Linked DNA regions of Astyanax mexicanus. The protein of the gene in region 1 purifies or fractionates together with the protein of each later gene. This does not show direct contact. Links are inferred from orthologs where the notes say so. Each region holds a gene or a part of one and is shown on either strand. Other genes may lie near its edges. The genes, in order: histone-lysine N-methyltransferase EHMT2-like, znf644b, dnmt1 and cbx5.

What was found.
Region 2: the proteins of histone-lysine N-methyltransferase EHMT2-like (region 1) and znf644b purify together in Homo sapiens (affinity purification with mass spectrometry; 3 studies listed by BioGRID and IntAct, with this or other methods). This does not show direct contact. The link is inferred for Astyanax mexicanus from reciprocal best matches to the Homo sapiens genes EHMT2 and ZNF644.
Region 3: the proteins of histone-lysine N-methyltransferase EHMT2-like (region 1) and dnmt1 purify together in Homo sapiens (affinity purification with western blotting; 3 studies listed by BioGRID, with this or other methods). This does not show direct contact. The link is inferred for Astyanax mexicanus from reciprocal best matches to the Homo sapiens genes EHMT2 and DNMT1.
Region 4: the proteins of histone-lysine N-methyltransferase EHMT2-like (region 1) and cbx5 purify together in Homo sapiens (affinity purification with mass spectrometry; 3 studies listed by BioGRID and IntAct, with this or other methods). This does not show direct contact. The link is inferred for Astyanax mexicanus from reciprocal best matches to the Homo sapiens genes EHMT2 and CBX5.

Annotation. Positions count from the first base shown.
Region 1 is NW_026040041.1:5,516,377-5,523,991, reverse strand, and holds the start of histone-lysine N-methyltransferase EHMT2-like, read left to right. Parts: upstream 1-4,595; 5' UTR 4,596-4,691; coding exon 4,692-4,700; intron 4,701-5,684; coding exon 5,685-5,724; intron 5,725-6,626; coding exon 6,627-6,704; intron 6,705-6,807; coding exon 6,808-7,007; intron 7,008-7,615. Other genes in the region: uncharacterized protein LOC111190472, read left to right, coding at 1-1,932, 2,046-2,114. UniProt on the Homo sapiens protein: Histone methyltransferase that specifically mono- and dimethylates 'Lys-9' of histone H3 (H3K9me1 and H3K9me2, respectively) in euchromatin.
Region 2 is NC_064412.1:51,070,067-51,077,510, reverse strand, and holds the start of znf644b (zinc finger protein 644), read left to right. Parts: upstream 1-4,423; coding exon 4,424-4,462; intron 4,463-6,070; coding exon 6,071-6,105; intron 6,106-7,444.
Region 3 is NC_064410.1:3,868,445-3,876,080, forward strand, and holds the start of dnmt1 (DNA (cytosine-5)-methyltransferase 1), read left to right. Parts: upstream 1-4,633; 5' UTR 4,634-4,818; coding exon 4,819-4,865; intron 4,866-7,636. UniProt on the Homo sapiens protein: Methylates CpG residues. Preferentially methylates hemimethylated DNA. Associates with DNA replication sites in S phase maintaining the methylation pattern in the newly synthesized strand, that is essential for epigenetic inheritance.
Region 4 is NC_064420.1:885,812-892,819, forward strand, and holds the start of cbx5 (chromobox protein homolog 5), read left to right. Parts: upstream 1-3,989; 5' UTR 3,990-4,112; intron 4,113-6,054; 5' UTR 6,055-6,120; intron 6,121-6,962; 5' UTR 6,963-7,008. Other genes in the region: hnrnpa1b (heterogeneous nuclear ribonucleoprotein A1b), read right to left, coding at 453-545, 640-850, 945-1,091, 1,861-1,980, 3,324-3,335. UniProt on the Homo sapiens protein: Component of heterochromatin that recognizes and binds histone H3 tails methylated at 'Lys-9' (H3K9me), leading to epigenetic repression. In contrast, it is excluded from chromatin when 'Tyr-41' of histone H3 is phosphorylated (H3Y41ph).

The DNA.
Region 1 (7,615 bases):
ATAAACCGCTGCCTGTCGACTGATGAGGCGGTACGAATTCTAACAAATGTGGATGTAAGTAAAGTGAGCTCACTGCAACCAGCGCATCCCCAGTCTGGAGAGCTTTACTTGTACAAATATCAAAAAGGTCAGGGAAATAGAGGTCAAGACTGGACACCGGAGAATGCCCTGTGGATCAACTTGGGTACAAGGAATGTTCCTCACCCTAGAGGTTACCTGACAGTGAGATACTTTGTTGCTCGAGGAGAAGGTCAAGAGATTAGAAGGCGGATATATGAGATGTCTGAAGATGTTGGACCGTACATGTTGGTACATTACTTAGGTGAGAATTCACGATTACGGAGACCTCGTAGACACATCCAGTTTGGCCAACAGATGTTTGCACAAACCACGCCTCAAGAGGAACTCAAGAAAGTCGAAGAGGAGCTGGATATTTCTGATGTTTCTGAAGTGCAGAAGATCACAGAAAACACTCCTGTCAACAGCAAACCACTTGCAGAAACCTTGATGTCAGCGAGCATGGAGCAAAATCCAAACACTGGCGAAGAGTCAGGCAACTTTCTCAACCCCAAAGACATAATGGCGACTCAAATGATGTGCAGGGAGCTGAAGGACTTCGTTGTTCATATGAGTGTTTACCCAGATGTGATTATCGTCGCTGCATTGCCCGAGATGACCGAGCAGTTCCAAGTGATGCTGAAGAATTCAGATCCATGCGTAACGCATATCCTCTACTACAACAGCACATTTAACCTGGAGAACTTCTACGTGACGCCTCTTCTTTTTTGCCACAATGATTTTGAGGAGAGCCCAACTTTTCCGTTAGCTTTCCACATTCACCAGTGCCAGAAAGAGAGAGCTCACACCATATTTCTAGAGGAACTTCTATGTCTTCTGCCAGATCTGAACTCCAATCGATTTGTGATTTGCACTGATTGCGAGGCTGTCGTTGAGAACTCTGTCAAAAATGTCTTACCCAACGCTTCTGCATTCAACAGCTTCCGTCAAGTTCTGTACCATCTGAGATACAAAGTGATGTTTTGTGAAGAGGATGACATTGAGGACAATGTGCAAGGGTACATGAACAATTTGAGGAGTCTTATTTGTTCGGAAACTGAAGAACAATGGAGGGTTAAACTTGGTTACTTTTCTGTTACCTGGAGCACTGCCTTCCTTGAGTACTTCCAGATGCACCTGGAGGCCCTGACAAAAAGGTCTGCCAGGTTTACCCTCAAAGCACTTGGCCTACCAGAAGATGAAAAGATCACTAGTACTTTTCAAGAACTCAGTATGATGCTGATACAGATGAGGCATAGGAAACTCAGACTGGAAACGACTGTATTCACGACATTCCAGATCTCGATGTACTTCCTAAACGAAGTCTTGAGAAGCAGTTGCAACATGGGGCCCTACAAACCCACTCCCGCAAGCTCCAGAAGTGCTACCGACATGGATGATGTTGACTTCCCAGAGTTTGTTATGACCCCGAAAGAGATTGTCCACTTCTTTAAGAACAGTTTGGCTGATGACAGTGACACCATGCCAGAGCAGGAGGCATCAGGAGGGTACGACCTGGCATCAATGCGACCAATGGCAGAACTGATCATTGAGAAGAACAAAATAAGTCTTGAGCCCAGCATAAAGTCGTTCTTTGTAACGGGGTGGAGGGGCCAGAAATACGTTGTTAAAGTCTACCCAGAAGAACGATGCTCTTGCTTCTTGGCTCACCACTGCTGCCACATACTGGCGGCACGTACGGCTATCGGATTAGAGAAGGAAAAGAAGGAAAAACCTTCCTTCAGATTATGGAAAATGTGTCGGACGGCTGAAACAACACCATCGGGGGAAAAGGGAACCAGTGTTGTACCTCTGAAGGAGGTCAAGTTCACACAGTGTTTCCCAGACGCTTGTGGTGGCGACGCTCACAATAAGGTGAGGTTAAAGATGGCACTGTACACGATGATCTACACCCATTTCCATGAACCCAGTCCTGTTCAAACTAATCTGATTATGCCTCTGAAAATTCATGCTTTCTGTTTTTCCAGAATTACCTGATCCTAGAGGACTCCAGTTCTAGCAGTGAATCTGAGGAAGCTAACGAAGACTCTGAATAAAACCTTCCCATCACAGCTGGTCTACTTTTGTTCTGAAACCAAAGTCTTATTTTGTTATTCAGCTAAAAAGCAAGCCTAAGTTGTATTTTATTCTCTAAATAATGTGGTCTAATTTTGTTAGCATGTCTAATTAATAGTTGTTAGCCCATGTTTAATTTCATTTTTCAGCCAATGAGCTAGTCTGATTTTGTTATTTAGCCAATAAGCTAGTCTTATTTTGTTAATCAGCCAATAAGCTGGTCGGATTTTGTTATTTAGCAAAAAGCTAGTCTGATTTTGTTATTCAGCCAATAGGCTGCTCTGATGTTCTTATTCAGCCAATACGATAGTCTGATTTTGTTATTCAGTCTATAAGCTCCCCAGTTTTTGTTATTTGGCCAATAAGCTATGATTTTGTTATTTAGCAAAAAACTGGTCTGATTTTGTTTTTCAGCCAATAGGCTGGTCTGATTTTGTTATTTAGCCAATAAGCTGCTTTGATTTTGTTATTCAGCCAATAAGCTGGTCTGATTTTGTTATTCAGCCAATAAGCTAGTCTGATTTTGTTAATCAGCTAATGCATTGGTCTGAATCTTGTTATGAGCCAATGAGCTTTTTTGTGTTACGCCAGTGTCTGATTTTGCTACTTAGCCAATAAGCTAGTCTAATTTTGATATTAAAGCCAATGAGCTTACTTGCTTGTTTGTTTTTTCAGCAAATAAACTAGTCTGATTATGTTATTCAATAAATAGGCAATTGGCTAGATTGATTTTGTTTTTTAGCCAATAAGATGGTCTGATTTTGTTATTTACAATGAATTAGTCTGATTTTGTTATTGAACCAAGGAGCTGGACTGAATTTTTAGATTTTTGTTACTCAGACAATGTCTGATTTCGTTAGTTAGCAAATAAACTACCCTGTTGCTTGAACGTTAGGTGAACATTGCTTAAATGTTAAGTGAGCATTAGTTAAACCGTGCTTGAATGTTAGGTGCGTGTTAGTTGAATATTTCTTGAATGTTAGGTGAGCACTATTTAAACCTGATTAAATATTAAGTAATTGTTAGTTGAACATTGTGTAAATGTTAAGTGAGCGTTAGTGTTACTTGAATGTTAAGTGAGCACTTTTTAAACCTGATTAAATATTAAGTAATTGTTAGTTAAACATTGTGTAAATGTTAAGTGAGCGTTAGTCAGACGTTGCCTAAATGTTAAGTGAGCGTTAGACGTTGCCTAAATGTTAAGTGAACGTTAGTTAGACGTTGCCTAAATGTAAAGTGAGCATTAGTTAAACCTTGCTTGAATGTTAGGTGCGTGTTAGTTGAATATTTCTTGAATGTTAGGTGAGCACTATTTAAACCTGATTAAATATTAAGTAATTGTTAGTTAAACATTGCGTAAATGTTAAGTGAGCGTTAGTTAGACGTTGCCTAAATGTTAAGCAAGCGTTAGTGTTACTTGAATGTTAAGTGAGCACTTTTTAAACCTGATTAAATATTAAGTAATTGTTAGTTAAACATTGTGTAAATGTTAAGTGAGCGTTAGTCAGACGTTGCCTAAATGTTAAGTGAGCGTTAGACGTTGCCTAAATGTTAAGTGAACGTTAGTTAGACGTTGCCTAAATGTAAAGTGAGCATTAGTTAAACCTTGCTTGAATGTTAGGTGCGTGTTAGTTGAATATTTCTTGAATGTTAGGTGAGCACTATTTAAACCTGATTAAATATTAAGTAATTGTTAGTTAAACATTGCGTAAATGTTAAGCGAGCGTTAGTTAGACGTTGCCTAAATGTTAAGCAAGCGTTAGTGTTACTTGAATGTTAAGTGAGCACTTTTTAAACCTGATTAAATATTAAGTAATTGTTAGTTAAACATTGTGTAAATGTTAAGTGAGCGTTAGTCAGACGTTGCCTAAATGTTAAGTGAGCGTTAGACGTTGCCTAAATGTTAAGTGAACGTTAGTTAGACGTTGCCTAAATGTAAAGTGAGCATTAGTTAAACCTTGCTTGAATGTTAGGTGCGTGTTAGTTGAATATTTCTTGAATGTTAGGTGAGCACTATTTAAACCTGATTAAATATTAAGTAATTGTTAGTTAAACATTGCGTAAATGTTAAGTGAGCGTTAGTTAGACGTTGCCTAAATGTTAAGCAAGCGTTAGTAAGTGTTACTTGAATTTTTTTTTTAACCTGATTAAATATTTTTTGAACCTGATAAAATATTAAGTAATTGTTAGTTGAACATTGCTTGAATGTTAGGTGAACGTTTGTTAAACGTTGATTGAATGTCAGGTGAGTGTTAGGTGAACGTTGCTTGAATGTCAGGTGAGCACTATTTAAACATGAATGAAGCGATTGCTAATTGAAGGTTAGTTAAACGTTGCTTGAATGTTAGTTAAATGTTCAGCTAATGTTCAGCTAACTGTCTCAGTCTGTGGGAGTCGCGGCGGGTAAGTAAACGGTTTGCGAAAGGGGACTTTTATTTTGAAGGCGCGTTTCTCCTGTAGCCATTTTGAACGGAGCCCCGCTCCGGTGTGTTTTTATCTCTTTACTGTTTGAGTTTTTCTGTGTTTAATAAAGAAAAGCTGCAGAGAGAGAGAGAGACATGGAGGAGGTGAGTTCAGATTAACAGCAGATTAAAGATTGATTTAACCAGTTTAACTGAGTGTGAGCGGATTAATCCCGGGTTTAGAGGATAAATAATGATCTACAGCTCTTTATCTTTATTATTAATCACACACTGATTTATACACTGATAAATACACAACATTATACTTATTAACACTGTAGCTGGGGGTAAATATGTGTTTATAGTGTTTTTATAGGTATATAAACTGTGAACACTGTGTTATTACTGCAGTCTGGTAGATAATCTAATAATACAGCAGTGAATAGAGCATTCAGTTACCTACTGTTATTATTCATTATAACATTATGACATGTATTTATGTGAAACTCATAATATTATATAGATGTATTAAACAGAGTGGTCTATTTTAAGAGTTTATTTATTTTATTGTTGATGATTATGGCTTACAGCCAATGAAAACCCAAAATAAGACCAATTGTACTTTTGGCAGTGTGGGCAGTGTGCCAAATCCTGCTGGAAAATGAAATCTGCATCTCTATAAAAGTTGTTTTCAGCAGAGGGAAGCTGTAAGATATGAAGTGCTGTAAGATTTTGTGGGAAAACAAAACTGCACTGACTTTAGACTTGATAATAAAACACAGTGGATCAACACCAGCAGATGACAGACATGCCTCTCCAAACCACCACTGATCATCAGTAAATTTTACATTTCATTTAAAGTAAATCAAGGTATCAGAGTCTGGAGGAAGAGTGGAGAGACACACAGTCCAAACTGCTCGAGGTCTAGTGTGAAGTTTCCACCAATCAGTGATGGTTTGGAGAGTCATGTCTGATATCTGCTGGTGTTGATCCACTGTGTTTTATTATCAAGTCTAAAGTCAAAATCTTACAGCACTTCATGCTGAACCTCTTCTGACAACGTTTAAAACCAGCCTAATTTAAAAAATAATGTTGGAAAGTACCTGTAAAGGTCTGTAATGTGATTTATTCTGTTGTTTTATTGTCCAGAGTCCATCTGAGAGCCGACCAGCGCACTCCAAACCCTCAGGTGATGCTCCTCTCCTTCATACACACTCTAACCTACGTGTTCCTTAGAAGTAATGAAATACACCAGTCCTGCTTAAATTTTAATAAACACTTTCTAACCTTTAAAAAAAAGCTCTTTTATTGTGGTAAACGCGTCTCACTGAGAAGTACTGCTTAGGCCAGTCAGCTCTCCACTCTGCTCCGCCCCTAAACCCATACATCACCAAGTGCTCCTCCCAAACTACTCTTCACATTATTTTTTTAACCTGTTTTCAAATTTGATCTTAGGGTGGAGTCAGCTAAAATCAGAGGGGAAGATACGATAAGAAAATTTGTTTCTCTGATTTTGCTATTTATAGGTTTATGTTTGAGTAAAATGAACATTGTTGTTTTATTCTATAAACTACAGACAACATTTCTCCCAAATTCCAAATAAAAATATTCTCATTTAGAGCATTTATTTTATAGAAAATGAGAAATGTCTGAAATAACAAAAAAAAAAAGATACAGAGCTTTCAGACCTTAAATAATGCAAAGAAAACAAGTTCATATTCATAAAGTTTTAAGAGTTCAGAAATCAATATTTGGTGGAATAACCCTGGTGGTTTTTAATCTCAGTTTTCATGCATCTTGGCATCATGTTCTCCTCCACCAGTCTTACACACTGCTTTTGGATAACTTTATGCTGCTTTACTCCTGGTGCAAAAATTCAAGCAGTTCAGTTTGGTGGTTTGATGGTTTGTGATCATCCATCTTCCTCTTGATTATATTCCAGAGGTTTTTAATTTGGTAAAATTTAAAGAAACACATGTTAAGGAGTCTGTCTCACCAAATTTGTCTCTTCTTACTTTCTACACATTAAACTAAAGTCTCTCAATAAAAGTTGGTTTCCTGACTTATCTTAATTTACCTTTATCTTTAAAGAGAGTCTAAAGGAGAAGGAGAAAGATGGGGGGAGCAGTGAGAACACAGCGACGTCCAGCTTCACCAAACCATATACAGGTAAACCTGCAGTTAACACGCAAGCTCTGCTGTGTCCAATCAAATTACACCACCATGATCATGTGACCGCTGATCTCTCTCTCTCTCTCTCTCTCTCTCTCAGGTCATGCTGCTAAGTCCGCTCCTCCCTCGTCTCCGTCTGCATCCTCCGGTCGAGCGAAGATGAGTGTATGTGGGCCGGGCAGTAAAAACCCCTCCTCCTCCTCCTCCTCTTCCTCTCTTTCTTCATCCTCCTCTTCCTCAGCCCCACCCCCTAAAGTCCACCGCGCCCGCAAGACCATGAACAGACCCCCCATCACACAGGTGACCATTAGCAATTACATATTACTGTTATAACAGTGACTGAATTATTTTTAGGTAATGTGTCATTTATAGCAGGAACTGAATTATGTCTATTAGATGCTAAATCATACGTAGCAGATACTGAATCATTTGTATTAGGTGCAGAATTATATAAGGTAGTTACTGAATCATCTTGTAGTAGATACTGAATAATTTATAGTAGATACAGAATTAAATATATATATATATATTTATATATATATATATTTATAGTAGAATTAAATATATATATCATTTAAGGTAGATACTGAATCACTTGTGTTGGGTACAAAATAATATATGGTAGTTACTGAATCATTTATACAGCTAACTGAATCATATTGTAGTAGATACCGAATCATTTATACAGCTAACTGAATCATATTGTAGTAGATACTGAATCATTTATACAGCTAACTGAATCATATTGTAGTAGATACTGAATCATTTGTGTTGGGTACATAATTATACATATGGTAGCGACTGAATCATTTGTAGGATTTACTGAGTCATTTTTGTAGTAGATACTGAATTATTTGTGTTGGGTACAGAATGATATATATGGAAATGACTGAATCAATTATAGGAGG
Region 2 (7,444 bases), on another chromosome or scaffold:
ATGGGTTTTAAGTGGGTTTGTACCTGTGTTGTTACTGGGACCCAATTGGGATTCCCAAGTGAGTGGGCCCATAATTGCCGCCCACTTTAATGTCACATGGGTGTGCATTTATACTTAGGGTCTACATGGAATCTGTGGACAAAAAAATGGTTTCGACATGGTTTAACCATAGAAGCCTCGAATGGCCATGTTATCCAGTTAGCTAGTTAAATGCCACGCTAGCTAGCTGTGTCAAGAAGGCAATCATTGGGTTAGCTCTTACTCTTTGTTAATGTTTTTTTTGTCATGTTACTCTCCTATGTTAGCAAAAGCAGGATAAACTCTTGTAAAACCCTTGATTTTGGAAGTAACAATGAAAAGCAATAAATAGGTGTTGCAATACTTTTGTCCATATGATGTAGTCAGCTAGTTTAATGCAATGCTTGCATGTTGTGATAAAGGGGGGAAAAGTTTGCTCCTGATCTCTGCAAATCGGGGTTTGTTACATTTTTATTTATATCACTTACCCCTGGCACCTACTTTTGGGATTATTTGGGGACTAGATGCCATCAAATCCTCATAGCAATGCTCCAGAATCTAGTAGAAAGCCTACACTGGACAGCGGAGACAGCTATTCCAACAAAGACAGGATAAACTCTTTTGCAATGCCCTTGATTTTGGAAGAAGCAATGAAATGCAAGGAACAGGTCTCAAAACTTCTGTCCATATGGTGTAGTTAGGTAGCTAGTTGAATGCAGTGCTTGCTAGTTGCAATGAAGGAGGAAAAGTTGGGATTTGCTCCTGATCTCTGCAAGTCAGCTCACTTCCAAGCAGGGTTTGTCATGCTTTTTATCACTCTCTCACTCTTTCTCACTCTTTTTTCCTCCCCCCTGGAAGTTGACGCTTTATCTGCTCTTTTACAAGGCTCGTGTCAGGATCTAGCCAAAGCGTTGTCAATCAGCAGCTAAGGCAAGCCCCCCGTTTCCCCGTGTCAGCAGCAGAAGTAGCAGCAGAAGCCCCAGCCCTGCCTTGCCTGCCTTGCCTGCCTGCCTGTCTCCCCCTGCACCCGGCTCGAGCTCAGCTTTGACACTTCAAGCACGGGCAGACGTGCAGCAACTCTCTCTAACAATCATCATCTCTCCGTCTCGCCTCATGTTATCTTCATGCGAGCATTTGTAACTGCAAACACGAGCTCCTGCAACTCCATCACCTCTGTTTTTTATCAATTGCACGCTTTCCTTGTTGAGCGTTTTTAACAAGTGACACGATACTTTTATAGCCAGCCTGGAACACCCCCCACCATCACCATCACCGCAACCCACTAAAAAAAGGCAAGAGAATAAAAATAAAACGAGCTTGTACTAGTCCCGTGTGGAAGCTTGTCAGGAAAAGCCACATTTAGAGAGGTTCAGCAGGCCTGCAGTAACCTGACTGCAGCTCTCACTTCACTTCCAGGCCCCGTAGGGGGTCAAAGCCCAGATGGTGCGGCCCTGCAAGGTGCCCTTCGGCCCACGGTGCAAATAATAAGCAGGAAACACTGATCAGGTTTCTCTTATGGTTAGTTTCTGTCACCCTTAGTGTTTGTAGGCGAAAGCCACTAATTATCCCAGTGTTTTCTCAAGCTGAGCGTCTTGGCTGCTGAAGAGGTTTCGTTTTCAGCTTGTTTTCTTTTCTGTTTGGCTCATTTTCGAACTTGTTGTGAAGTGTGCCTTCGTAACACATGCACAAAAGTGTTCTTTAGATCCTGTGGAAACATAAAACTTCTCTGCCAAACTCACCACAGGTGACTGATTCAGTTTGACACCTCTTTTTTGTGTTGTTTTTACACCTCATCTTTTTTTCTGTTGTTTTACACCTGCATTGGCATTACCATATTAAAGGGCCCTTATTATTAGGAATGTGCCGATCAGTTAAGTTCGCTCTCTGATCTGATCTGATCTGTCTCTGTATGTGGAGTATGATCTTTGTGTTTTTTATAAATATACAGATAAGTATGTTTTTAGTTACTGTTTGTATAATTATACACTCAGGACTTATTTATTTAGTTTAGTGGTGACTAGTAGTGGCTGTTGTATAATGTGTTTAATATTTTATTATCCAGTGTACTGACCGACTAGCATCCAGCTGTAGTGAAAGTCACTTTGTATGTGTGTGAGTGTGTGTAGTAGTATCTGTTGTTGTTTGTTGACTACTGATGTGTAATAACTGTTTTATAGTGGCTAAATGTGCTATGGTTTGGGTTTTAAAGTGTGTGTGTGTTAGCATTAGCATTAGCCTTTACTCTCTTCTGTTGAAAGCACTCTTCAGTGGTGGTTTAAAAACAAAGGAAGGCTTGTAGTCCTGGAATGGGGAGCGATTACTCATTCTGACTTTTTGATAAAGTGCATTGTAAATGTAAATTTTAAAGTTAAAGGGACAGAATAAACAAATATCAATTTAAATATTTTTCTGTTTTTGTTTTAAACATTGTTACTTTTATTGTAGAGTTAGAAAAGGCTTTAAAAACTATTAAAAAAAAGTTAAAGACTTCTTTTCTGCGAGTGTATCCATATACAGTATCTCACAAAAGTGAATACACTCATTTTATTGTACCTTTTCGTGGGACAACACTGAAGATATGACACTTTCATAAAATAGTCAGTGTAAATTTACATGTGTAACCAGTTTAAGTAAATTGTAAATTGGTGTGCCCTCAAAATAACTCAAAACACAGCCAAATTAGCCGTTTTCCCTCATGGCAAAGGATTCTCTGAGGATCTGAATAAAGAATTGTTGCTATAAGATGATTGCCAACACCCTGAAACTGAGTGGCAGCACGGTGGCCAAGACTATACAGCGGTTTAATAGGACAGGTTTCTTTAACGATTAGTTGGCGTAAATGACAACGCCGACTGTAAAACATTGTCTATAAACAATTTACTGCAAGATTGGTCTTAGGGCCTAACTGTTTGGCTCTCCTCACCAGTAGGAAGTAAAAATGGAGGGCATGACAAAAAATAATTGCGACTAATCGACTAATCATAAAAAATAATCGGCAGATTAGCTGACTGCTAAAATAGTCATTAGTTGCAGCCCTAGGTGTTTGTTGAGTTATTTTGAGGAGACAGCAAATTTAAAGTGGGTGTACTCTCTTTGTGAGATTCTGTACGTATCTGAATTTAACTTTGAGCATAAATGCAGGCACACATTGGCTTGTAGCTTCATTTGGTGATGTAGTTTAAATGGCTATGCAGGAGGATTATAATTTGAAAATGATTGAAGTGATTTTTGCAATTTTATGAGAAAAAAATGTATTGCTTGCACCAGAGATACAGAAAAGCTGTTATTGTTGTTATTATTGGCACCAATATATGTAGGAGCAATGTCCTGTAGAAATAGCACAGAAAAAGTTCAGCCGCATCTCCAGACCTATACCCAGATTGAAAATATGTGGATTGATGTTTGGTGTGCTATCAACACTCCACCCTTTCCGCTATGCATACATTTTGAACCTTCAACGTTTGATTATTGCAGGACACCAGTAGGAACCTCTACAACTCCATACAGATATATCTGTCATATTGCTACCTTTTTTTTAATAAGAGCACAAACCACTACCATTTGGTAGGTGTAAGGTAATTACTATATATTACATCAGGAAAATATTGGACTATAGGTTGAGGCTCCATAACTCTACCATGTACTTATTGTACATTATAACTTGATATGTTATATAATTTAGGTTCTTAGGGATTGAATTTTAACCAAAGCTTTTCATTTCCACATTGTACAGCTGAGCAACACATATGCGACTGTGGAGAGAGAAAAAAAAAAACACTAAAGAAAACTACTTAAACAGCTGCCACTGGGGTCACTCGCCTCCTACAGAATAGAGAAACTATCACCAGTGCATTGCAGGCCTACACAACAGAGTGCACATTGTCACCATCATCTAAACAGAAACCTCTATAAAACAGTCAGTGAATCTCTGGCCTTGTAAACGTTTATTGAACAGATGATAATAGTTACCAACGTGAAAGTGAAAAGGTTTAAAATAAAAAAAAAAGAAGAAATTTGAAAAATATGGTGTAATGCAGGCATTTGTGTGAAATGTCTATTTGATGGCAGAGCACAATTCAATGAATTTAGAAGTACAGGACAATGCTTTTGAATAATACATTTATCTTTCTTATGAAATATAATGTGGATCAATCATATTTAATTGAATCAACCTACCAGTGAAATGTTCCGTTACCAAAGCATGATCCATCCACCACCATGCATAACAGAGCAGTGGTGTTTTCATTAAATTTGCCATTTTTCTCTGAACATCACAGATAGGAATCAAATATTTTGCCCCTGGGCTCCATGTTGGCCCTACATATTGATGTCCACCAAAATCAGTATTGGGAGCAGCAGGGGTTAATACACTGGGTTGTGCTCTGGGACTGGGTTGTGCGTAAGGATGGGCCCATATGTGTTGACCGACTCAGTCCCAACACATGTACAAATCCACTCAGAGCCACTGCACACCTGGAACACACCAAGCCCATGTTCCCTATGTAGCTCATGAGCTCACCTGAGCATGTTGGTTGGGATACGTTTGGAGCATTACTGTAAGGATTTGGTTGGCTTGAGTGATGAGGGCTTAAGAGTTAGTAAGGTCAGGATGTTGGAAGATCACCACTCCCGCTCACAAACTTACTTACTTCTCCTCTCATTCAAAAGTATTGGATGAAGCACCATCCATAGTTCCAGGGAACACAGTTTCACTGCTCCACAGCTTAATGCTGGGGGCTTTATACCCCTCTACACACTTAAAAAGAAAGATACAAAGGTATTAAAGGTACACTTTTCATAATTGTACCCTCAATAATATATATATAGGTATAATATTGGTCTTTACAGGTCAAATGTGTTCACTTTGTGTTAGTGTGTTAACACCTCTAACACACTTACTACTTCTAACCTCATTTCCTTCCTCCCCTCCTTCACTCCTCTATCCTATTATTTCCCTTTGACCTCCTTTAGGCCCTATCTAAAGATGTTTTCACCTTTAACTTCTATTACTTTTGTACTTCACTATTGTAAGTCGCTTTGGACAAAAGCGTCTGACAAATGTAATGTAATGTACTTTGAAGTACAGATTTGTACCATTTATCCAGCCAAAAGCTGCATTTTGTATTCTGCATCCAGTACTAATAAACAATATACAGCTCTGGAAAAAAATGAGAGACCACTTAAAAATGATGAGTTTCTTTGATTTTACCAAATTGAAAACCTCTGGAAAATAATTTTGAGGAAGACGGATGATCACAAGCTCACATGCTTAAATGTTTGCCCCAGGAGTGGCATAAAGTTATTCAAAAGCAGTGCGTTAGACTGGTGGAGGAGAACATGCCAAGATGCATGAAAACTTTAATTAAAAAACAGATTATTTCACCAAATATTGATTTCTGAACTCTTAAAACTTTATAAATATGAACTTGTTTTCTTTGCATTATTTGAGGTCTGAAAGCTCTGCATCTTTTTTGTTATTTCGGACATTTTCTGCAAACAAATGCTCTGAATGACTATGTTTTTATTAAGAATTTGGTAGAAATGTTGTCTGTAGTTTATAGAATAAAACAAAATTTTACTCAAACATTTACTTATATTCAGACACTGAAGTGGTCCCATTTTTCCCCCCAAAACTGTATATTTTAATTATACATTTTTCATTTGAAAGCCAGACAATTTTGGATCATCAAGTTCTTGACACACATTAATTTGGTGATAATAGTTTATAATCATTATAATCTGAACTGGTGCAAAAACATGGGTACAAAAAAAAGACTTTCACTGAAAGGTACTCTGTTGTACCACAATATATGGCATGTGGCATTATTTTGCCTTCTAGGCAAGCTGTATGGGCACATTTTCACACCTGTTTACAAGCTGAAAGCATTGATTAAAAGGGGTGACCAGAAAACTTATGGATAAATAGTGAGGATTCCCTACATTTAAGGCAAGGAGAACGCTGTGTGAATGAGAATAATTCTGTTTCTGTGTTTTAACAGAAACAAACCGTTTAGGAGATCTCCAGGTGAAGGTTTGGCGACTGCTGTGTTAGACTGGATGGCACACTGCAGGGCACCAGGGCAGAAGGTAGTCATGACATGTTTGTTATGATTGCATGTGGCACAGCTGGGATTTTAAGCTGAATGCTGGCATTAGAGAACATTTTTTTGACTGATAAGGATTGCTTTTACCAGCCATGCCCTCTGGGCCACAATGTAATATTTTTTTTTATCAGAGGCAGTAGTTTTGCATCAAAGACTTGAACTTTCCTCAGCTCGTTTTCCCCGCTCTGCTGACAGGTGCTCCAGTCCTTACCTGTTTTTCAGGCTCCGTTCTTGCACACTCCGAGCTTGTAAAATTGAGTACAGACAGCCTGTCAGTCGCCATTAGCCTGATTCCAATCCAGGCAGCGGGAGACAAGTTCCTGGATGGTGAGCTCATTTTGCCCAAATTTCTGAGACAAATTTTCAGGCTTGCACTGTTGTAGGCCTCAGGAGATCTCAATCCACCAGGAGCTATACCTGGAAGATTTGAACAAACTTTATTTCCAGTCTTATTGGACCATAAACCGAGCTAGGCAGTGTAATATATCTTATTTTAAGAATGGACCCTGGATTATTTAATTAAAAGGCCACATATTATATATATTTATTTTTTTCTTTTATCAGTGTCTCTATGCATCAAAACCAGCCTCTGTTCATTTGTATATGAACATTTTCATTTTCCATTTATAGCTTTGAGTCAAGCAGTTATTTGCTTCTTAAAGCACATGAAAAAAATGCAGAGGAAAGCATGAAGAAATTGTCTTTTAAAGGATTGGTGTCTTGACAACCTTATTTATATATTCGATTTAACTTTTTTATACACTTTCAAATCAGACTCTTTAGAGCAGAGGTGTCCTGTATAGAACTTGTGTTCTCAGTGTTGACTATTTAATGGAGTTCAGTCATTTATTAAAAGTAAATCCTCTCTTCCAAAACAACACTGACCTATAGCCATGAATAGGAAGACTCTAAGACTCTAAATATAGTGACAGGCACAACCAATCAGAAACTCTATTACACACTTAAAATCCTTTTAATTTCTCAAATATCGACAGTGCACTTTATAATTAGATTGGACTGTAGTCTGCATGTTTGTCGTGTTAAAAAAAGCTCGTGGAATAAAGCGCTAGCTGATAGCACCCTGGGTTACTGAAACACTCAGGGTTCCTCAGTGTGGTGATATCTGGTGGCATTTATGTCCTGCTAGCACTGCGATTAGTGGCTAATGCTAATGCTGCTGCACCCAGCCTTAGAGCTGGAGAAACTTCACTGAAAACTCACCCTTATCGTGGCTTACTGTAAATAAATGGAAGCAATTTACTTACCCAAATACACGATTGCCATTAATCTGTGTAGATTAACATCCAGCGCTTGTTTGACTT
Region 3 (7,636 bases), on another chromosome or scaffold:
TCGTTTAAAAATGTTCAATACTGATAAGATACTTTTTAAATTTGATATTGATACCAAAACAATACTTGTTTTGATACATTTTTCTTAATTGTACCAAGAAAAATACAAAAAGATGATCATACTCGCACAACATATTTATTTAACAGCTAACATGAGAGGCTTGATCTTGTTGGATCTTGTTGGAACAAAAACAAAAAATGGGCATGTTTGTGGTGCTTAATTAACCCTTTTAAAACCTACATCCATTACAATGGGTATTTTTTTTCTTTCATTTTAAGGTTTTGTTTTGCACATAAAACTATTTGAGAGCTGTTGTCCATCAGAATAGACTATAAACCAGCCATTTAACAAGTTTATAAACCAATGAAACAGTAACTTGGCCCCGCCCACCGTACTGGAAAAACAGGAGTACTAGAGCGATTGAGGCAAAGTAACAGCTCATTTTTACTAATCCTAATTTAATCAGGTTTTTACTCATTTGTTTTTTTTATGAAATAAAAAGGTCAATATGAAGTATAAAATATTACACATATTGTTATAATCATTACTCATTTTTTAAATACTGGTATTTGCCTGTATTATTGTGAGGGGACAGTAATAAAAGTATAGTGTGGTTTGTGGTATGCCAGACTAAAAAACACCTGTCTCTACGGCAATGTTTAGAAAGTAGTTTGCAAATTTGGACTGCATATCAAAATAAATCAACCCCAATGTCTCTCACTCTCACACACACACACACACACACTCTCTCTCTCTCTCTCTCTCTCTCACACACACACACACACACACTGCCACAGCTGCTGCTCTAAGATATTAATATAAAAGCATCAAAACTACCCGAGATATTTTAACAAATAAAAAATAAGGCTCTATTCCGATAGGCCTACACCACACCACACTACACTATTAATTTTGTCTCCTCCCAACAATAAAGGATTTTATGATTAATCACAGACTTTTTTGTGATTTATATACATTTTTTATTTAATTTTAATATTAAATGCTTCAGACTTAATCACAAAAACATTGCTTTGATTAATCAGATTTTTTTTCGTAGATTGACACCAGTAAATTTGATGCATTATCAGGTATCTTTAATTTGCCTTTAGATATTGTGACATAATACTTTTATTTTATTACCCAGCTCTATTTTATCCTATTGTATTGTATTGTATATCAACATATGAGTCTTTAGTTAAATCACCCAGCTCTATTTCATCATATTGTATCGTATCGTATATCAACATATGAGTTTTTAGCTAAATCACCCAGCTCTATTTCATCATATTGTATATCGATATTTGAGTTTTTAGTCATATTACCCTGCTCTGTCTGGTATCAAGAAAGCTATTGTTATGCCCCAACCCGAGGGAACTTCCTCTGCCTAATTTAAAAGACAGCTTACCTGGAAAAACCAAATAGGCAGAGTGAAGCAAAACATGCACCGACACAGCAAAGAACAGACTCGCTAGGACATGACCAGATTTGAAAAGTGGTGCGGCCTACAACCATTAGCTCAGATTGTTGACAGGGCAGTGTTGCTTTGCCAGTTGCAAGGGCATGTGGGAGTGTTGTGGAGCAACAGTGTGGGGGTGATATGAGGTAAGAGGAGGATGAGAGCCAATGGGAAGGGAACAGCATCATGGGAAGGCCTTGTTTCTCTTTCTGACCTCTGGACGCCAGACCTCAGGAGGAGTTCTTGGCTCAGGAGGAGCGTCCGGGCCTCGGAGGAGTGAGGGTGAGTAAGCTTCTGAGGACGGTCTGGTCTGGTTGCTGTCAGACGTCCAGAATTCCTGGGTGGGAACATGCACCAGGGCCCTGGGAGACCATACCGCTGGAAGCACAGCCAACAGCTGTCAGCAGGAAGTGACATCAGGCCTGATAAACCACAGAAGAACAGCTGCAAACTCATGTAGCTGTAAGCTGGCAGTCTAGATCTTTTACATCTCTTTTTACTCTCCCATAACCTCCTGCCCCACCCAACTGCACACATGTGTCTGCAGCAGGCCCTGCTAAAACTCCTCTCAAACAGTGCCATCTCGTGGTCAGCATGATGGACAGATGTTGGGAGACAGAAGAGATAGAAGACTGGGGAGTTCGGCAAAATGAGTCTACAGTTCCCTCTGCTGGACTGGCTGAATAGTGTATAATACAATTGCTGGCAGATCTTTAAACCAGCATGGTTGCAACAATACAAGCAAACTAATCAATTGCCAAGGGCCAAAGCTGGCCTGGAGTCCCCAGACAATGACGGCTTATGAATTAAATGCAACGACAAACTATTTAAACCCTTTAAAGTATGTGATGATCAATGCCGGAAAGTACAATGACACTGTTATTAGAAATCCCCTCCCACTTGTGGCTGACAGTAGCCTATCAGCCAGGTTAGTCATTCCTGCAGCCGGCAACCTCAGCAGTCATAAATCCAGAAAAGAAAGTATCTCTAAAGCAAGACTTTTACTTCAACTTTTACTTTAAATTTTACCTCAGGTGTCTCTAGTCTAAAGTTTGGAAATTGGATTTAAATCCAATTGTTTTTATTATTTTAAAATGTTCCGCATTATAGATTAACACTAAAATCCTCAAAACTATGAAGAAAAACATAAAAATTAGTTCACAGCTAACAGCTGTCCCTTGTCAAGTGTTAATAACTAACTGTTAATATTTTCTTGCTCTATTAATGTGTTCGAGAGCATCAGTTGTAAAGTTGTGAGCAATCTTCTAATCCATTTTACGTCAAGAACTACTCAACTAAGTAAAGAAATATAGTACTTTAAGAAATGAAGGTCAGTTAATCAAAAAAAGGAAAGAAACTGGCACTCATCTGGACCACACCAGTAAAAGAAAGAGCACGAATTGCCTCTGTTTTACAGGATTAGCTTTCCTAAATGCTTCTTCACAGAGGATTTTGGTTTGTTTAACACTTATTTTAAGTTATTACATGATTCCTTATGTGTTCCTTCATAGTTTGAATGACTTTTGAGTTTGAAGTACTAATTTGTAATTTGTAATATATATATATATATATATATTCAGTTCAGATATCAGGCAGATATGCCTTCCTGCCTTTAAACCATACAGACAGCATTTCCACACTTCAGACACACACACACACACAGAGATCTACAGTCCAGCTGCAGGATGCAGTATTCAGCAGGGAGAATCTCCCGCCTTTGTTGAGATTCAAGTCATGTAGGACCAGAGCTGGTTTATGAAGAGACTACACACTTTCTGTTTCTCTTTTAAATCAGAAAATTACTTTACACCGCTAGAGGGAGCCCGCGAGGGAGTCTTCAATGAATGGGATAAATGGAGCTAAACGGCTTCTAAACACAAATTAACAATAGTAACTTCTAGTCCAGGATATTATTTTAATTTTAGAAAGCATAATTAAGTATTGTACTAAAACAATAAAGAAAACCTACATATACCTTTCCATTTTTCTATAATAGACTATTTTTGGACAACAAATTCGCTAGCATTACTGCTACTCTGTGCTGATTGGTTGGTGGAGAGCCGATGCTGAAGACACAGCCAGAGCTGTTTTATGGAGGTTCATAACTATACTTTTTCTAAGTACTTAGTACTTAAATGCTGTATCTGTATCTACTGAAGTATTTTTATTTTTTTCACCTACCTCCACTTTTACTTCACTACTATGATTTTAATATTATTTTTATATTAATTTTATATTATTTTTTTATCTGCTGCATCGTTGCTCGTTACAAATATAAAAATGTTAGGAATCATTTCAAACGTACATTGCAATTTGGGTGCCCAATTAATCCTACAATCTTACAATATAGAAATGTAACAGTGTAGAAATGGCTCTTCAAGAATTTAATGTCACTTTAAAATCGTTTGGTTTTCTGTTTTCATAGGACTCTTTAGTGGTCATTTTGTGTGTGTGTTTTTAAACACAAAAAAATAAAACCTCTTTAATTGTAAACCTTTGGAATTTAATCAAGCGGAAGATGAATGATCACAAGCCATCAAACCAAGCTGAATTGCTTGGCGTTTTGCACCAGGAGTGGCATAAAGTTATCCAAAAGCAGTGTGTAAGACTGGTGGAGGAGAACATGTCAAGATGCATTAAAACTGTGATTAAAAAACAGGGTTGTTATTTCGGCCATTTCTCATTTTCTGTAATTAAATGCTATAAATGACAATATTTTATAATAATATAAACTAAATAAAATAAAATAATATGTTAATTTTAGTCAAACATATACCTATAAATAGCAATATCAGAGAAACTGATAATATTTCTCAGAGCTAAATATATATAGGTATATAAAGGTATCTCAACCTGTGCACGTTTTCCATTGGGCAGTCTCTCATCTGTAGAGTTTCTCCAGTAGGACCACCTACCTTACATGAAAAACGGACGAAACCATATCGTCATGATTGATTAAGGGGTGTTTAGATTATGGATGGTTTAAGGACGGGATATCAGCGGGGGTCGTTTATCATTTTATTGTACATAAATGTAAATGTTTTATTAGTGTATTATGTGAGTTTGGTGCGTTTTATTCGCCTTTTAGTTAAGTTTAAATGTAATGGACGTATTCTCTCTATCTGCAGGCACCCTATTTTTCCTGTGGATGGTTAAGTCCGAGTCTTTCCGCGGGAAAGCGGCCCGCGCACATTCGCATCTGCTGGGAAACCTTAAAAAGCCCCAGTGTCCCCTTGCGGCGATCCGCTGCTGCTGCTCTTCCTGCTGCTGCTTGTTTTAAACATTGGCGCTTTTAATTGTTCACTGTGTTTTTGTTGTTTTTAACGTATTCGCTGTTTTATCCGCTTTTATTCTCACTTGAAATGCCTGCGAAGACCTCGCTGTCTCTGCCGGAGGATGTGAAGGAACGGTACGGTAAACCCTAACCTCACCTGGGCTTTAGTTAGTTAGTTAGTTAGCTAGCGTTACCTAACCTTGCTAACTACCTTTAATTTGCTGTACATCTATATTAAAACGTTAAAACACGCACACAGCTAACCTAGCTAGCAGCTCAACCCCCCAACAACAGACTGGAGCCTGCAGTGTAGCACAGCAGCCACAGCAGGCTCTAGTCTGTTGTTCGGGGTTTGAGCTGCTAGCTAGGTTAGCTGTGTGTGTGTGTTTTTTTAATAAAGATTAAAAGCTTAAATATCGTTAGAAACGTGGCTCTAACTACTGTTAATGAGGCGGGTTAGGTTAGCTAGCGCTGTGGCTCTCCGCCAAAGCACTGCAGCCAATTCTGTGACTGATAACTAGAGTTAGCATGCTAGGCTAAGCTAACCCGTCAGGCAGTTGTTTTGGTCTCCCCTCCGCGCGCCCGCTCGCGCTAGCTCGCTGTCACCGGGCAGCCTGAATTTGGCGCCAAATGATGGCTGCTGCTGCTGTTCCTGGCCTGACCGTGTCAAACCATATCTTATAACTAAAGTGTGTGAAAAGTATGATATGTCAGACATAAATTTATATTTTGACTGCAATTCGTTTGAATAGGGTGTTTCAGAGCTGGGAAGCTCCCAAAACATGATGCTTGTGTTCTACCTGTATTACGTTGCCCAAAGGCAGCAAGTGAAAACATTCATTTACTAAGGTTACCATGAGAATATGTAAGAATATGAATAATAAGATATAATTATTTTACATATTTCTTATACACATACAAAAAAACTATTCCTTGAGAAAAAAAAAACATGTTTAATCTCCCTCTCTGTATATACATCTCTGAAAAGTAGAAACTGTATTAGGGTTGTGTCACATGACACTAAAATAATAGCTAAATATTTAATGTTATTTTTACTCTAACAATACTCCCAGCAATATGACAAGACTCAATAAAAAATATATTTTAAGAATACTCTCCAACCAAATAATGATTTAATTTGTTGTTGCATACAATATGATGTGGCACTCTACCAACTGAAATTAAAAATACAATAATTTTATCAGATTTGTATCTGAAGTCAGTGATTCAGAATATCTTCATATATCCTGGACTGAAGTAAAGTGAATGATACTGGACAGATTATCTGTGTCTAGTAGATCTATCATGGGGAATTTAGAACAGTGTGAAACAAATCTCCTTTTTTCTATGTGCTCTGAAGAGCTAATTAGTTTATAATGTGGCATATACTTTGGGTAAAGAGATATTTGGTATAGATCTGTCCAAACTCTTTTTTTGGTACTGTACATTAGTAAACATGGGTTTGCCACTCTGTTATGGCATGTGTTGCTGTATTGTCAGTTAGCTAATACTGTTGTGTAGGGGTTTTAATTTTTCCCTGTATGTCTGAATAATCACCTGAAACTTTATTAAAATCAATTATGCATGGCCGAAGTAAAGTCTGTTTATTTATTTTGGCCAAAACATTCCCTCTGCTGTTTGATTAGCTTTAAATAATCCTTTATCCATCCCACAGTGGGAAAATTTACAATGTTCCATCAGGATAGAAGTATCAGAAAATGTAGAGACTATCTATCAATCAATTAATACAAAAAATTCAAAACAAATCGTGAGGGGAAAATTTAAGACTCGTTGTTCCCCAGTATGTGTATTTTGGTGAATGCAGTGACCAGTGATTCTGCATAAACAGATTATGCTACACATGGTGAATAGGGGTATTACACGTAGTAAGAAGTAATGGCTAAACAGGTTTTATTGCACACAGTATTAATAAATAACTAGTAATCTTCAGTTTATCAAGAGTAGTATGTTATATACTCTGACAGTGTCCTGGAGAAAGAATCTTTCTGTAACTGTCTTATTTATTTATTTTTCTTGGTTAGTTGTTTATTTTTAGTATAAACCCAGATCTTAAACTCTTAAGCTATGTGGTGGAATATTCATGTTTTGATTGTGTACAGCTGTTTAGGTAAATACAGGACAATTACTGGCTATTAGTTGAACACCCAGACTAGCCTGTTGCCTATCGTTCTCTAAAATACATAAGCTCCATGCATTTACTTATTGTTTCATTAAATTAAGCCCTCTTCTGATGTAATTTCTGATCTTCCTTTGTAGCTGTGGTCCAATCAGCAACACTGCAACTTCTGTTCCATTTGTACATTTTAGCAGTAGTGACACCTGAGTGACATGTACTGTAGTTAACATTTAAGGTTCTACAGTGCACGGTTTATTTCTTTTAGCCATGTTCAAATCATCCGTTACCTGCCTGATAACCAGTCTTACAGGGAAAACTGTTAGCAGTGATGACCGTTAATAAGGTTGATGAAGCAGACATTTTAGCAAGGGAAGCAAGAAACCAGGACCTTTCTTGGAACTATGTCCCAATTACAGATGCCTACTATACTCACTCCACAAAATAAACTGTATGAAATATCACCAATCATAAATAGAAAATGCAATATGGACTTCCTTAATAGACAAGAACAGTCAGTGATGACTAGGTGCCGAATTGGACATACTGCTCTTACCCACCGTCACCTCCTGGTTGGCGAACGGACTCCAGCCTGCCAGTTCTGTGATACTCCTCTAACAATTAAACATATCTAAGTAGACTGCCCTGCACTTTTGACCACCAGAAAGGACTTTTATAGGGTTACAAACGTGAGAGAACTGTTTGAAACTATTCCACCAGCTAAAATACTTAATTTTCTGGAAGTCCTTCATATGAAGACACTAATTTAAGA
Region 4 (7,008 bases), on another chromosome or scaffold:
GAAAAAAGTAAACTTATTCAGATATTGAATTGTTGTTTTCGTTATAGTACTGCAATATAAACAGATATATCGAATTGTAAAGTATCGTATTGTTAAATTTGCCAATACACCACCCAGCGCTACAGTAAAATTGCAATCTAAATAAACTAGATTTAAGTAAACTAAACAATTAATTAGAAAACATGGGTAAATAGACTAGATTTAAATAGGAACACAGGGAAATAGCAGAAACATGAAATCCAGTAGTACATATGCAAATAAACCATAAAACCTGATAATTATAAGTATTCATCCTTAGCTGGTAAAAGGATTTAATTCAAAGCAGATTTAACACCTGTTTAATAACTGAAATTTGATTTAATTATATTTTGAGTTACTTTGCGTAGAATGAGTAATGTCTATTTACAGGAGCAACAGTTTTAGATCATTTCAGGTAAGAGTTAATTTTTTACCTCCTCCTCTCATGCTGGAATTCTGCATCTCCTGCCTGGAGAGAGCTTTCCTCACTTCAGAGTTGTGGCCGTTTATCGTGTGATATTTCTGAACTAAAGAAAAAGAAGAGAAATCATGATTAAATCAAAGCTTCAAGCAAACAAAAACCCTCATCCACCCAAACCGAACAGCACAATTTACACTTACTAACGATGCGATCTACTGAGTCGTGGTCTGAGAAGGTGACGAAGGCAAAGCCTCTTTTCTTTCCAGAGCCGCGGTCGACCATTATTTCAATAGCTTCGATCCTCCCGAACTGGTCGAAGTAGTCGCGGAGATGGGACTCCTCTGTATCTTCTTTGATGCCGCCCACAAATATCTTTTTTACGGTCATGTGTGCAAAGGGTTTGTTGGAGTCCTGGAACGCAACAGCCGTGCATTTAGAAACGTCTCAAGCCATGCACCCAAAAAGAAAAAAGGTAGATATATTTTGCAGATTTGTAGATACGTACCTCTCTGGACACGGCTCGTTTGGGCTCCACGAGTCTCCCGTCCACTTTGTGGGGGCGTGCGTTCATGGCAGCATCTACTTCTTCCACATTGGCGTAGGTGACGAACCCGAAGCCCCTGGACCTTTTGGAGTTCGGGTCTTTCATGACCTTTAAAATGTACACATACAGAAAGTGGTGTTTTAGTACAATTTTCAAACCAAATGCAAATAGGCATTTAGAAAGCGTATCCTTCTACAGGACTTATTATATTATTATATTTGGGCTATTAGTACAAAACTGGTGAGGTAAAACCAAGAGGAATTGTATAACAAATCACTATTACCCTCCTTATGTAGGCTATTACTCATACAGTATTGTTGGATTTTTTTTTTACAGCATATAATATAACTAATACTAGCAACCTGAGTTTTCACGGGCCCATTTTTACACTACTTTTGTCAATGATATTGTATGCGATATCACACCCCTAACTCAAGATTTATCAAATTTTAACAAAAGTCAAAACATGTCATGATACCAATTTACTCCAGACTAATATCTAGTACTGAAGAAAACCTATATGAGAAACGTGGGGAGAAAAGGTACTCTAACGACTAACATAGCCCTAAATACCATATATTCCAGGGTGCTTATGCGACAACTATTATAAAAAATAATCTGATATTGCACAAGATAATATGGCACACCATTACTGGCATTTTTTGTTTTATTTGAACCTTTTTTTTATACTATTTTTAAATGACCTGTTTGGTTAAGTTACTCATTTACAACGAAAGCCTGGCAAACAGCCGAAGCTACCTGAGAGAATGGCGAATCAAGAACAGACAATGGTAATAAATAGGCTAGATAATGAACAGTAAAATTTCGCAGTGTGGAAGAGAAACGCTCCAGAATAAAGGGAATAAATGAAACTCACCACACAGTCCGTCAGTGTTCCCCATTGTTCAAAATAGGCCCTCAGACTGTCGTCCGTCGTCTCGAAGCTCAGGCCTCCAATAAACAGCTTCCTGAGCTGCTCGGGACCTCGTGCTTTACTCTAACCCACAGAAAAGACACAAAAACAGACGTTTTAAAAAGCTCAAAAATTGTTTTAACACCATAAAACACTTGAAAAATACACGTTTACACAGCTACATAGTGTCAAAAACCTCGCCAATTACTCCAAGGCTATTCAAAAAGACAATTACTGACAAGGCCGCCATGTTAGCCAACCTAGCTAACAAGCTAACCTAGCTTAGCCACATGCTAACTAACAATGCGAGCCTACACGCCCCCTCCTTATCTACAATTAAATATATTATTTAATTAATACGATTAAAATTTCGATAAACATGTCTTATTAGCAACATTAAGCTACTAAATCTGCTCATTTAAAGCAGTGATTCAAAAATGAAAATCCCAAACAGAAGCTCAAAAGATATGGCGACCAGTGTTCTGCCAAATTGTGCAACCATGTCAAATCATGCTACACTTAAAAAAAAAGGTAGAAATATTGCTAACGTTACGTAGATTTGTTAACAACTCCAGACCCTGCATCTAATGCAAGATTACCTTTTTATTGTATATTGACAACACTACTTGATAGATGTTGTAAATTAGAACAGATAATGAACAAAATGTATAAACCAACAAAACTTGGCCCCGCCCACTGTACTGGGAAAGCAGTATAGAACCAGAGATATTGAAGCAAAATAAGTTAATTTTTTACTAATTTAATGATTTAGAACACATTTAAAATCACGTTATTTACTGTTGTGGTGGTTTAAGAAATCAATAATAAAAAAGTAAATCTACAACTACATACACACTACTACACAGGCTTCCCTGTGTGCTATTGAATTAAAATAAAAGATTAAAATATTTTGGATACTTGGCTGTATAAATTTAATTTTATAATCTTTTTTTCTTGCATTACAGACAAAAAAAAAACAGTAACCACATTTTTCCATTAATTGAGATTCATCAGGTCTAAAAAGGTTAATGCGGCCTAAACTAACGCTAGCTAAACAACAAGCTACGTAGTTAATCTAAAAAATGACCAAATTAGAATAAAGTGACGAATAAAAATGGCACATAAAGGCAAATTAAACTAGTTAGTCAGCGCAAGCGCACTGCTAGCAAGCAGCACATAACCGCCGGGTAACAAATTCCGACATAACACGAGCTAGCGGCAGCCCTTACACAAAAACAAAATGGCGGTAGCTACCCGCTAGCATTCGGCTAAATAAAGACAGCTAACCTTAGCCCATTGCCCTCCATTACAAATTATTACCCTGATCATTTAGCTCATAAACTCGATCCCCACATATATTAAACCCCATACACAACTCATAACCACATTAAACCCCGAATAAATGCGAAATAAACTGCTTAACTCACCTCGTTCGACATGTTGCACAGCAGCCCTCACCAAACTGCGCCACACACAATACGACGAAAACGCCGAGAAGGAGGAGAAAAAAAAAAACCCGGTCCATACCATATATCCACACCCCACCCACTTGTCCCGCCCCTGCGAGCTACGATTGGCTGAAAATTCCCGCCACGGTGCTACGCTTACGTTCTTTCATTTCGGATTGGCTTGGATCCGTGTCAATCTCGAGACTTCCACAGCGTAATATGCATATAGACAACTGCTCGGCAGCGAAGGCGTAAAACTGATTTGATTTAAAGACTCAATAAAATGTTATTCTGCTTTTATATTAAACGATTAACGTAGCCCACCTTTCATTTTCTTTTTTACAACAATTCACACGTATATATATGCACATATATCACATATATACGTCTGTGTTGTTCATTCAAAACCACACAGCTAGCTCGCTACAGTCATGGTTGCTTGCCACTCACTATACACGTTCCACATGTTTTAGCTATCTAAATTACATAATATCTAGCTAATATAGTAAATGTTTGTTTTTCTTAGACGATGGCTTTGTTGCACTAGTGACTGTGTTGAATTACTTGCTGCAGGTTTGCTTGTGTCTGCATCGTCTTGTGTGTGTGTGTGTATGTAGTCAGCTACCATTGTGTGTTTTTGGCGCGCTGCAGCTCGCGCACACACACACACGCAGACACACACATACATATCTAGTAGAGCTGGGGCTTCATACCTGCGAGCGAGAAGCGGTTTAACTACAAATCAAGCGCAGGAGAAGATAGATTTCTGTGAGTTTCATCCGATTTCGCTTGACATAATTAATAAGCTATATTTCTGCACGATTTTGACCGATCTGGGTGAAGTAGAGCTGCTGTTAAATTATGGAACAGGGCGATCAGCTTCGCTCGGTCCGTCGTTAAATCGGTTAGCTAGGAGAGTGTTTGCTAGCCGTGTCTCTGGTTAGTGGCTAATTTATATCATAATATGAATCATATTATACTTACTGCAATATATGTAGTGTTTTTGATGCTTAAATCGTGTGAGATTTGAGTCATTCCAGCGAAATAAGCAGTGTTTTAACGTTTTAAGCAGTAATTATGGTAAACTATTTGGATAGCCAACACTTGCTAAGCTAAAGCTAGGCGCCATGTTTTTTTTTTCGCAGCGCCGCAGCATTTTAGTTAGCGTTAGCTATCAGCTTGGTTTAATTTATGAACTCATCATTCTTTCACATTTTAATTTAAATAAATTATTTTTATATCACGTTTAGCTTTATATATCTTAACTACTGGCGTTTGGGTAGCTAGTTAGCTGTTGTTTTTGTAGAAGACACGATAAGTTATTGCGTTAGCTTAGCTTAGCTAGCTAACTTATAGGGTTAACCTGGCGTTAGCTAAGCTAGGTAGCTAACACTAGCTATCTTCCAAAACCCCGGCATTGTAGCTAACACTGGCTAAGCTGAATATATAGTTAACCTTGCATTTTTATGATGGAAATCGATATCGTGCATTATTTTTACGCCAAATTAAGCTTTTTTGGGCGTTTTAAGCACAAGGTTTCACCGTGTGTTCGTTTTAAGTATGCTGTCTAGCTAGCAAGGTTAACCTAGTTAGGCTAGCTTAGCTAAGCTATTGACAATGCCATTGGTATAGTGAGCTGCTGGCCTTAAAATGATCTTCGCAAAAATGTTTACTAACCAGATTTCAATCGTGTATATGTTTTAAACGTCCAGGAACCGGCATAATCAATCAAATATGCTTGTATACACGTTTTAAACCATATAACGACAGTAGCAAGCTGTTGTGCTAGCTGAGTTAGCAGCTCCGTGTTGCAGCCATTGGGTTTCAGTAGGTAACCTTATAGATGTAGGTTTGGTAGGTAACCTTGCTGTCTAAACCATTCAACTAACTATTTTATCTATTTATCTGTATAGTAATTATTAAAGTCGTGTACTTAAACGTTAATTTCTGTGTTTTCAGACTGAATGACAGGTAGTTGCTTACATTTGAAGGTAGCTAGCTTAGCTATCACCGATACTACATAAGTTACAGCTCTAGAAAAAATAAAGCAAGCACTTCAGTTTCTGAATCAGTTTCTCTGATTTTGCTATTTAAAGGTTTATGTTTGAGTAAAATGAACATTGTTGTTTTCTTCTATTATTATAGTAGTATTGCATACTACAGACAACATTTCTCCCAAAATACAAATATAAATATTGTTATTTAAAATGAGAAAATAGACCTCAAATAATTAAAAGAAAACCAACAAGTTCATATTCATAAAGTTTTAAGAGTTCAGAAATCAACATTTGGTGGAATAACCCTGTTTTTTTAATCACAGTTTTCATGCATCTTGGCATCATGTCCTCCTCCACCAGTCTTACACACTGCTTTTGGATAAATTTGGATAAAATCAAGCAGTTCAGCTGGAGATCATCCGTCTTCCACTTGATTATATTCCAGAGGGTTTCAATTTGGTAAAATCAAAGCAATCATTTTTATGTAGTCTCTTGTTTTTTCAGAGCTGTATATTAATGTATTTTTCATTCATTCTGTAAGTCAGGTAAAGTAAGTCAGGTGTGTTAAAGTGTCATTTTTAATACACTTGAAGTATACTCTAAATGTACTATACACGTACACCTATTCTGTGCACCTTAATGTCCCTATAAATGTTTTCTATCAACACAATGTTTAATTTAAAGCACTTCTAACTTCTCTGTTTTATATTCAGGGGAGGGCAGGCTGCCTGCTGTGGCTTTTCCTTAGTTTTGAGCCTGATCTGCAGTCCCAGAGAAAGGTAAGCACTAAAATATGTTGGCATTAGTGGCATCTGTATAGTATCACACAAGTTTACTGTTCTACTCTTCTTAAAAAATAACAACACTGTCCATTAAACAAAAAATAAATACATGTGTCAAAACACCTGAAAAACTATTTCAATTGATTACCTATTATTTCCATGTTATCTTAAGTCATCCCTATAACATTTCACTTTATGTGGATGGCAAAAACTTACTGAATATGAGATTTTAATTTCATTTAGAAAATACAGGACATTCACCACTTATCTCAGTACAAGTTGAAATTCACAAAAACACTAAATTTCATATACAGATATATTTATTCAGTAAAAGTAGCTGCTGTGACCCCTCAAAGACGCCTCGTTAGATTCTGTGCCATCTCTCACCTCCTTATTCTCATGTAAAATTGCACATTTACATGACATTGCACTTAACATTTTAAGGCAGTGGTTGATACTGTGAATTGACTTCATTTGATTGGTGATGTGAAACATTGCTCTTTTGTGTTTTTGTTTGCGGATCAGTTTAGCAGTATAACTTTAAATATACATCACAACATAGACAGAAGCAAAACTCATTTTCAGAGGAAATTGGTGAACATATCTGAAGTTTCTCTCAGTAATAATGACACCCGACACAATAGTCAATAAATTATATGCAGCATAATAATCAGAATTAAAGATACAACCATAAACAAGCTTTTATGAAATTCGTTCTGCAGTGCAGTTATTACTAATGTTATTCCAGTCAAAAAACTGCCTCAAGATTGGATTGGATTTATCCTTTCCTAACGATTGTTCTCTCTTTTTCTTTTCTCTCTATCTCTTTTTCATATCAGTAGCAGAGGGAACATTTTCCCCTTATTTGGCCAGGGAGAATCCCTC